2 linked regions of the Oryctolagus cuniculus genome follow. The protein of the gene in region 2 interacts with the protein of the main gene of each other region in a pairwise test. Links are inferred from orthologs where the notes say so. Each region holds a gene or a part of one and is shown on either strand. Other genes may lie near its edges.

Region 1 (4,507 bases), on a different chromosome or scaffold from region 2:
GCATTCATTAGCAGAGAGCTGGATTGAGAGTGGAGCAGCCAGGACTCAGAATCAAAGCTCTGATAGGGGATGCTGATGTCAAAGCAGCGATTTAACCCACTGTGCCACAATGCCATCCTGCACCTAGGTAGTTTGCATGAGCCCACGAGTTGCTTTGCTTAATGCTTAGGACAATGCTATAGGGTAGCTTTTATTATCCCCAATTTATAAATGAGGCCCAGTGAAGTATCTTGGCTGAGTTGAAAACAGTCACTGATTAACCTGGATTTGAACCTAGGCTCCAAAACTTGGGTCATTTTGCCCAGCACATTCTTGGTTCAGGCACTCAGACCACCAGTTGTTTGTGGTCACTGGTACCACACTTTTGCTCCCTGAGAACCCTTGGTCTGTCTGCAATGAGAGAGATGGGCTGCCTAGCCAGTGAGGGACCTGGCCTTGCCAGCTGGTGTCAAAGTGACCCAGGCTGGTCAATCCCCAGCACAGAGCAGGGTCTTGTCACTGCACCTGGAGCTCTGTTTGCTTAGGACCTGCCCAGAGGTGTGGAGTGTTTGAGGAGGAAAATCACTATGGGATGAGTGTGGGAAAGTAAGAACTGGGCAGAATTTAGGAGACTTGGGAAGAGCCGGGTTCTCCTTAGAAATGAAGCCAAAGCCATTTACCGAGAGCTGAGGGTCTTTTCTCTGCAATGAGGAAAAGCAGGCTGAAGAGAGTCTCAGCCCTCACGTAAGAAACTGCCCAGGAACAGGTCTCCAGGGATACCTGCTCCTGGCTGAAGCTGAACAGGGTAGTAAGGCTGGTGTAACTCAATTCAGAGATTCAGCTCTTTGGCCCTAATATGTGCTTCGCGGGAAGAAACAAAACCTGGGCCCTCCGGCTTCCCCAACAGCTGCCGGGGGCCCCTGCTTCTCTGAGAATGCAGTCTTCCTGGAGTCACTGGCACAGAGCCCAGGAAGGTGCAGGGGCAGCTCTGGCCTCAGGAGCTGTATTTGGAGGCCCTGTTCCGGGAGTGAGTGAGGAGCAGAGGTGTAAGGTATAGGAAGTGGGCTTCCCTACCCCTTTGCAGCCCTCCTGCCATGGGAGGAAATCATGGACCTAGCTCAGCCATGAGCACCATTCCAGTTGTCCCTATTCCAGCCTGCTGGACTAGATTAGTCTCATAGCTGGGAATTGTAGAGAAAGGGTGACATGCTGTAAGCCCAAACCAGGACAGGAAGACCTGACAGCCGCTAATCCCTTCCCCTGCGTCCTACTCACAATGCCCGTAGGGTAGTGGGAAGAGCTCTGGGTTGTGGATCTAGAAATCTTGGGTCTTCCTAACAGCTTAGCTGTGGAATTGGTAGGAGATCCTCCTCCGTCTGGATCTCGGTTTCCCTTTCTGTTAAGCTAAGCAAGCTATAGCCATGTCCACGGTTCTTGCCTGTAAGAATCTTTGGGTCTTTATTCTTCATCCCAACACCACACAGCAAGCCAAAGCCTCCTGGACCAACACTCCTCACCCTCTGCTGCACCCTAGAAGGCGATGGCTTTCTCCACCCTGTCCCCCACACTGCATTGGTTCAGCGTCAGATTGTAGAAAAGGCCCTAGCTGGTGATGGGCCTCTTCCCACACTCTCCCACGCTCTCCCACGGCTCTCACAGTGACCAAGGCCTGCGTACATACCTCTGCAGGACAAGGTCAGACTGGCCGGTGAGAAAAGAGGGCCTCCAGCGAGAATCCTCTTACCCAACCCCACATGGAGAGGCAGGGGTTGTTGCTAGCTGAGCAGATCCCGGCCTCACCTCTTCCCCTTATCCGATTCAACAATGCACCTTTTCCCCAACTCAAGCTCCCTCCTACCGGGTATCTCCTATCTCTACAGGCCATAGTACACTCTGTCAGCCCCATTGCTTTTCTAGGTTCAGTCGCCTGACATTTCCAGACCACCCATGCTCCTGGTTTTCTCGCCTCCCCAGCCTCCCACCTGCCGGTCTTCCTCGAAAGCACCGCCCTGCCCCCACATCTACAGGCACAGCTGCCTCTCCTTCCTGTGTCTCCCTACCTGGAAAGCCCTCTCCCAGGGTGGGACCAGGAAAACCTCCTCCCGGGGGCCCCTCATTCCCCGGCCCGGGCTGCCAACCCCGCGTTCCTCTACTCTCCGACCTTAATCAAGGCAGGATGCCGGGGCGCACAGGGCAGCAGCCACGCAGGAGCGCTGTGCCGGGCTCGTCCTCCCAACCCAGCATCCTGAGCCCCGCTGGTCACTCACCGATTGACTTCATGTAGTCATCGAAATTCTTGCTGTCCACCAGCTTCCAGGTTCCCACGAAGGCGTCCACCATGGTGAAAGTGAGCGAGGCTGAGAAGCTGTGAGACAGCAGGCGTGCAAAGACTCCCGGAGCAGCGGCTCCCTAGCCGAGCTACCGCTTTAAATAGCCCTTGCATCACATGATGAGACGTGGCCCACGCCCCCCAGTGGCTCCCGAAATAGGAAGCCCCGGGCTGGCGCTCACCCGCGAGGGGCTGGCCGCCCCTCCCCCAGCCCGCCAAGGAGGGAGGGGACAAACCCGTGGCACCTCGCTTGCCTGCGTCAGCGCGGGTGCCTGGCTTCTGACTCCCTGCCCCAGGCTCTCAGGACTTGCGCCCTTCCCTGTCTTCGGCGCTCTTGGGAATCCGAGAAGGAAACCCCTGGAGCGGGTGCGGCGAGCCGGGACGCGCGGCGAGCCGGGACGCACGCCGCGCTAGGGCGCACGCCGCGGACCTCCTCCACCCCACAGTTCCACAACGAGCCTGAGCTTGGAGTCCGAGCAGAGATGAGAATGGGGGAGAAAGGAAATTCGCCCTTGGGTTGGTACTCCCTGGGGAAAGCTCTGGTTGACCCTTGTGACACAGATATCTGTCCTTTTACGAGGAAGGAGCCTGAGACTCAGGGCAGCCGACAAGGTCACAAGAATACCTAGGAGAGGGGGAATTGCAAACCTGGGCTAGCAGGCTCCCACTGCCTGGTGGCAGGGAAGTCGGCGGAGGCAACATCTGCGGCCGAGCTTCCCTGAGTCCTCGCCTGCTCCGGGTGAAAGTATGACCCTTACCTGGCGCGGCGCCCGCACCGCGCCCGCTCTGCACCTGCTTGCCCCGGCAGGTGCCTTTCACCTGGAGCCCAACTCCCCACCCAGCCCTGCCAGCATTCCAAGATTTTCTGATCTCTGAGCTTTTGTGCAAGTTGTTCTCCTCACCCTCTTTCTGAAATGCTGTCAATTCCATCAGCCCGAGGCCCCTTCCCCCACCCTGTGGGACTCCACCGCCTGCCTTCTGCACTCTGCACTCCTGCAAGTCAGCCTACACTACCCTTATCTTTTTTTCTCGAAGATTTATCTGAAAGGCAGAGAGAGGGAATGACGGACAGAGATCTTCCATCTGCTGGTTTACTCCCCAAATGGCCACAAGGACAGGGCTGGGCCAGCACAAAGCCAGGAGCCTGGAATTCCAGCCAGGTCTGCCACGTGGGTGGGTGGGAGTGAGGCTCCTACCGAATACAGACAATGCAGGTGGTGGCTCAACCCCACGCCCCACAACCTCGGGGCAGGACTCACCTCCCTTAAAGAGCCTGTGCCAGTGTTTGACACTTGACAATTTACAGAACAGTAAGACCTATGGTAGTGTTAATGTGTATTGATCCTTATTTCACACCCCAAAGGGCCTTAAGAACATTGTGTCCTTGAACTTTTAAAACAAAATCCCTGGAGCAGGCGTTACGGTGCAGCAGGTTAAACTGCTTTAAACCCCTGCCTGGGTTCACAGCATTCCATGTCAGCACTGGATGCAGCCCCAGCTGCTCCGCTTCAGATCCAGCTCTCTGGGAAAGGAGCAGAAAATGGCCCAAGGACTTGGGCCCCTGCCATGTGGGAGACCAGGATGGAGTTCCTGGCTTCAACCTGGCCCAGCCTCTGGCATTGTGGCCATTTGGGGAGTGACCAGTGAATGGAAAATCTCCCCCCCCCCCCATCTCTGTAACTCTGTCTTTAAAAACACAAAAACTGCCGGCGCCTCGGCTCACTAGGCTAATCCTCTGCCTTGTGGCGCTGGCACACCGGGTTCTAGTCCCGGTCGGGGCGCCGGATTCTGTCCCGGTTGCCCCTCTTCCAGGCCAGCTCTCTGCTATGGCCCGGGAGTGCAGTGGAGGATGGCCCAAGTGCTTGGGCCCTGCACCCCATGGGAGACCAGGAGAAGTACCTGGCTCCTGCCATCGGATCAGCGCAGTGCGCTGGCCGCAGCGGCCGTTGGAGGGTGAACCAACGGCAAAAGGAAGACCTTTCTCTCTGTCTCTCTCTCTCACTGTCCACTCTGCCTGTCCAAAAAAAAACAAAAACAAAACAAAAACAAAACAAAACAAAACAAAACAAAACAAAAGACACCCCCCCCCCCCCCATAGTTAGGGGATGGGAGGGGCATTTTTGCCAGAGACTGTGCAGTGTGAATGAATTTCTGACAGAGCCGGCCCTGGACCTGAGGCCACAAGGAAGCTGAGCTGCA
Region 2 (4,497 bases):
GACTTAAAACTCAGAGAGGAAGGAACAAGGTGATGAAGCTCACGTGGCCAGTAAACCTGGAGGATGGCAGCGCTTGCCAGGAACCGGGACAATACAAGTCATTTTGGAAGATGTCATTTTTTGGACAAAGATTCAGAAACTCGTCAAGCTATGACAGAAATAAGGATGGCCAGCAGCCAGTGTTAACCAGTACACAGTGTTAACCAGTGCCGGCTGGGAAGTCCTCCCAGGGGCACTTCGGCCATGCCCACAAAATGCTGTGTATGTGTTCCCTCTAATACTCCAGTTCCATTTCTAAGACTCGAGCCTATAAAAAAAAATCTGTAACTGTGCATTCATTTGTATGTTTACTTAACGACTAGACAAAAAAACCTGCTGACTCCAAGGGCTATGTGGCCCACTACCTACAACCGCGGGGCCTAGCACGTAAGTCCCATCCATGGTCAGTTCACTCAGCATTTAGAAAGGAATATGGAGTAGTTAATCAATATCAGCTCTTCTCATTCACATTTTTGGGGGGGGGGGTGGCACTGACACAGTGCTAACAGGTAGTAAAAAGTACTGTTTTCAAAAACAAAACGCACACACACCACCAGCTGGTAAAACTGATGACCTGATGTTAAGTACCCACAGACCTAGCTGCCTGTTTGTCCACCTCAAATCCCCAGTTTCTCAGTTCAAGAGATCAAACACCAATTCAATCCTCTTGAAACAAACCCGTTGTTATCACAGTCTACGAGCTGCAGGCACACACCCTGGTTCTGAGAAGTATAAAAATCACACTGTGGGCTTAAAAAAAAAAATCCAGCACTTGTGTCACCAGACTTCACTTCCAAAAAGAGGTTACCTTTAAATCAACACAAACTCCCAAGTCTAACCGTTCTCTTCCCTTGGTGTGCTCGTAACCAAAGAACTACACCCTCTAAAACTACCGAAACCACGGATTTGGTTTCCAATATGAGAAGGAGCCAGGAACTTACACATCCTCCTTTTTTTTCTCAGCCCTCAAATCCAAGAGACAGAGCAGGTTCTAAAATCAAATAAAAACATGTCGGTTATCTGCACCGTCAGCCTACCCTGGAAACCACGTACTGTATGAAAGGAGGTAGTATTTTTTCTGTCACCCTTACTTGGAAACTGACCGTCCATGGACAGACCTGACATCCAGAGAGCTTGCCAAGTCCAGAGCGTGACTACGACTCCAGGCTCCTCTAGGCCGGGAGGTGCAGGTGCTGCGAGGGTGCAAGAAGCTACCGCGTGCCCAGCACCTTCTCTCCACGCAGGGGGACTCAGTCATTTCTCCGGGGTCACAGAGCGAGCACTGCTGTGGGCATCTGTACGCCCAAGAGTGTGGCTCAGGGGGATGAGGAAGCAACAGGTCCTGCGCCTGGACAGCACCGCCCCAGGCAAGGCCTGATGGACCACAGCGGCCCCCACAAGGCAAGAGGGGCGGGCAGGTTCACAGCCCTGCGAGCTGACCCCGGAGAGGGCACGTGGCCTGACTGCGGAGCCGCGCAGGGAGGCCCCTAATCCTGCAGATTTTCACTTCCCAAATCTGCAAGGTGTCTCTCTGCATCTCGACCCATATTCTCTGGGCAATAATGACGGGAACGCTTTTAATGTGTTGGCTGGTGCTGATGTGGCTTTGTTCCCAAGTGCGGCCAGGGAGGAAAATGACTGATGGGAGCAGCCCCTGATCCTAGGGTAACACCCAGTGACCGAGCGGCGGGGAGACGCGTGCGCACGGCCTGGCTTTCACGCGCCCGGCGCCCATGCAATTTTCAGGAAGCCCGACGCAAATTCAGGAAGCAGGGGTGTCTCGGATTCATCAATTGCTAAAAATGGGAAGTGACAAAAACACATCGGCCTGAAAAGCCCCCAGCTGGGTCAAGAAAAGAGGAACGGGACCGACTCCAGTGAAAAAGGTGGACCGGCTGCGAGGCGGCGCTGCGGGCCACGGTGCGCCAGCGAGGGGGCAGGGGCAGGGGTGGGGCCGGGGCCGGGGGTACAAGGCCCCGCGCGCCGCCCGGACACCCGCCGCGCCCACCGCTGCGCCCACCGCTGCGACCCCCGCCGCGCCGCCCCCGCCCCCCAAGCCCCGCCGGCGCATAGCCGGCCCCACCGCCTGGACACCAGCACCCGGCTCCCCGCGGCGCGACCCCGTGGCCGCAGCGACCCGGCCCCACGGAGACCCCGGCGGCCGCGGCGCCGCCCGCCCAGCTCCCCACCTGCCCCGTCCCCGCCCCCGGGGCCGCTGCCCGCACCTGGCGCCCGCGTGCGCGCCTACCTTGCTCCTTCAGGCTGGTGATGAGCTGCAGCTGCTTCTCCTCGTCCGAGCTGTTCATTTTGGCGGGTGGGGCCGGGAATAAAAGGAAAGGAGGGCGCGGCGAGGGGACCCGGGGGAGGGGAAGACGGGGCGAAGACGCCGCTGGCGTGCGGCGCCACTACCCGGAAGTTGGATTCGCTCCCGCTCCTCCTCCTCCTGGCGCGGAGCGCACGGGTGAGATCATCCCCCACGCACCTCCTCTGCGCCCGCGGCCGCGCCACCTGCGCCCGGCGGGGCGGGGCGGAGCCCACGGTCGCGCACCCCGGGGCTGGGCGTGGCCGCGGGGGCTCCTGCGAGGAGGCGGGGGGCGCGCGGCCTCGCGTGCGGGTCTCCGCCTGCGCCGCCGACCGCGCAAGGACGCGCGTGCGGAGGAGGCCGGCCCCCCAGGGGTCCGCGGCGTCCCCGGGAGGCCCCTCTCTCTCTGTGCTGGGCGCGGCGGGCTGCGGGGCCGGTGTTGGGAAACAGGTGCCCGCAGAGGCAAAGGTCAGGGTCGTACTGATTGCTTCTGGCCGACACCGGACAGGCACCGGGAGAGGCCAGGGCAGCCTGGCGGCCGCCGACCACTGAAACTGCCACACAGGCAGCGAAGGAGGGCCCGGGCTTCCGGCCTTCGCACCTGCTCGGACGGGACGTGGGCCGCGGAGGGGGGACCTCGGCAGCCCCTGCACTCCCAGCGCCCGCGCCCACGCAGCTGTCCGGCCTCAGGGCCTGGCGGGCGGGAGCCCAGCGTTGGTCCCGCACAGCTCTAGGGGTGGACCCTGAGCGGGTTGGAGGTGGCAGGCCTGGCTTCTGGTTCACCTTTGCCTCCACTCTTTGATCTGAACAGTGAGAATGGTGATACTTACTCTCCTGGGAGAATAATGAACCCAACACCAAATCCAGAAATTAGAATACTTTTTATTTTAAAGGTTTGTTTGTTTGTGTGTGTTTGTTTGAAGAGGAGAGAGAGAGAGAGAGAACTTTCCATCAGCTGGTTCACTCCCCAAGGCCTGAGCTCCAGCAGGAGTCTCCACATGGGTGCAGGGGCCCAAGCACGTGGGCCATCTTCCACTGCTTTCCCAGGCGCATTAGCAGGTGCTGGGTCAGAGCAGCCCTGGACTGAACCACGCTTCCACATGGGATGCCAGCATTGCAGGTGGCAGCTTAGCTCTCTGGTGCACAACCTGTGGTTTTTGTTTGTTTGTTTGTTTTAAATCACAGGTCTGCAAGAACAGGGTTGTGGTTGAGAATCAGAAGCTGAAACAGTTCTGCGTTCTTCATTAAGCATCTCAAACAATTCCAGACTCAGTCGGACTTTCTGCACACCCTGCCTTTTCTCCCCAGCTGGACAGGGCACCAGCACGGTGCTGCCGGCCCTCAGCTGTTCCCTGTGCACAGGCCCAGCTCCACTGACTGTGTCTGACCTTCCCGGGAGAGGCAGGGGCGGCATTTTGGTAAATCCTGTATCTGGTAACCTTCTGGTGCTCATTACCAAATACCAACTCAGAAGAAGTTTCAAAACCTGGTTTTCTGTTTTTGGGAAATGGCCGTTCAGTGACTCAGTGGCAGAATGATCTAAATGAACAACCTTTTAAAAATAGAGTGAATAAAAAAGTTGAAACTTTCCAAGTACTCCTCCACGGGGTTTTGTTAACCCGTCCTCTCCCCGAGTTTCCACTGGACGGTGCAGGTTGGTTGCAGAGCCCCAGGAGTTGCCCTGGAATCACATCTGGAATCAAATCTTAGTCGGCAGAGTTGAGAGAAGGTCTGGGAAACACGACGCAATTCAGACTCACCGGTATGAAAAAAATGCATCTGAGATGCTGCACTACACATTTTAGTTGATAAATCATGGCCGCCTGGCTTTCGTATGGCAGAGCCAGGAAACCTGCTAACCCCAACATGTCCTGAGGCTGGGCCGTGCGGAGGAGCCCCTCCAAACCAGAAGTCACTTCTCACACTCTGCGTGGTGTCAGCAGAGCTGTTACTGTATATACAGATTCATTCACAAGCTCCAGTTGTCAAATGGCTGATTCAAGAGTCCACTCTTACTATGCAGTAGTTGGGAAATATCAGTGGAGTTTAAGAATGAGTGAATTGTCAAATCGATAATTGAACCAGTGTTTTGGTCCCACGCTGAATCGGCAGCCCCTTGAAATGTATCCCATTGACCCTCCCTGAAAGAGAAGAGC

What was found.
Region 1: the proteins of SHTN1 (region 2) and FABP3 interact in binary tests that used the Homo sapiens proteins (3 or more experiments, as listed by UniProt). The two-hybrid records come from large-scale screens. The link is inferred for Oryctolagus cuniculus from reciprocal best matches to the Homo sapiens genes SHTN1 and FABP3.

The regions. Positions count from the first base shown.
Region 1 is NC_091438.1:140,999,157-141,003,663, reverse strand, and holds the start of FABP3 (fatty acid-binding protein, heart), read right to left. Parts: upstream 3,006-4,507; 5' UTR 2,320-3,005; coding exon 2,247-2,319; intron 1-2,246. UniProt on the Homo sapiens protein: FABPs are thought to play a role in the intracellular transport of long-chain fatty acids and their acyl-CoA esters.
Region 2 is NC_091446.1:13,376,448-13,380,944, reverse strand, and holds the start of SHTN1 (shootin-1), read right to left. Parts: upstream 2,927-4,497; 5' UTR 2,346-2,926; coding exon 2,288-2,345; intron 1,031-2,287; exon of another isoform or gene 985-1,030; coding exon of another isoform or gene 981-984; intron 1-980. UniProt on the Homo sapiens protein: Involved in the generation of internal asymmetric signals required for neuronal polarization and neurite outgrowth.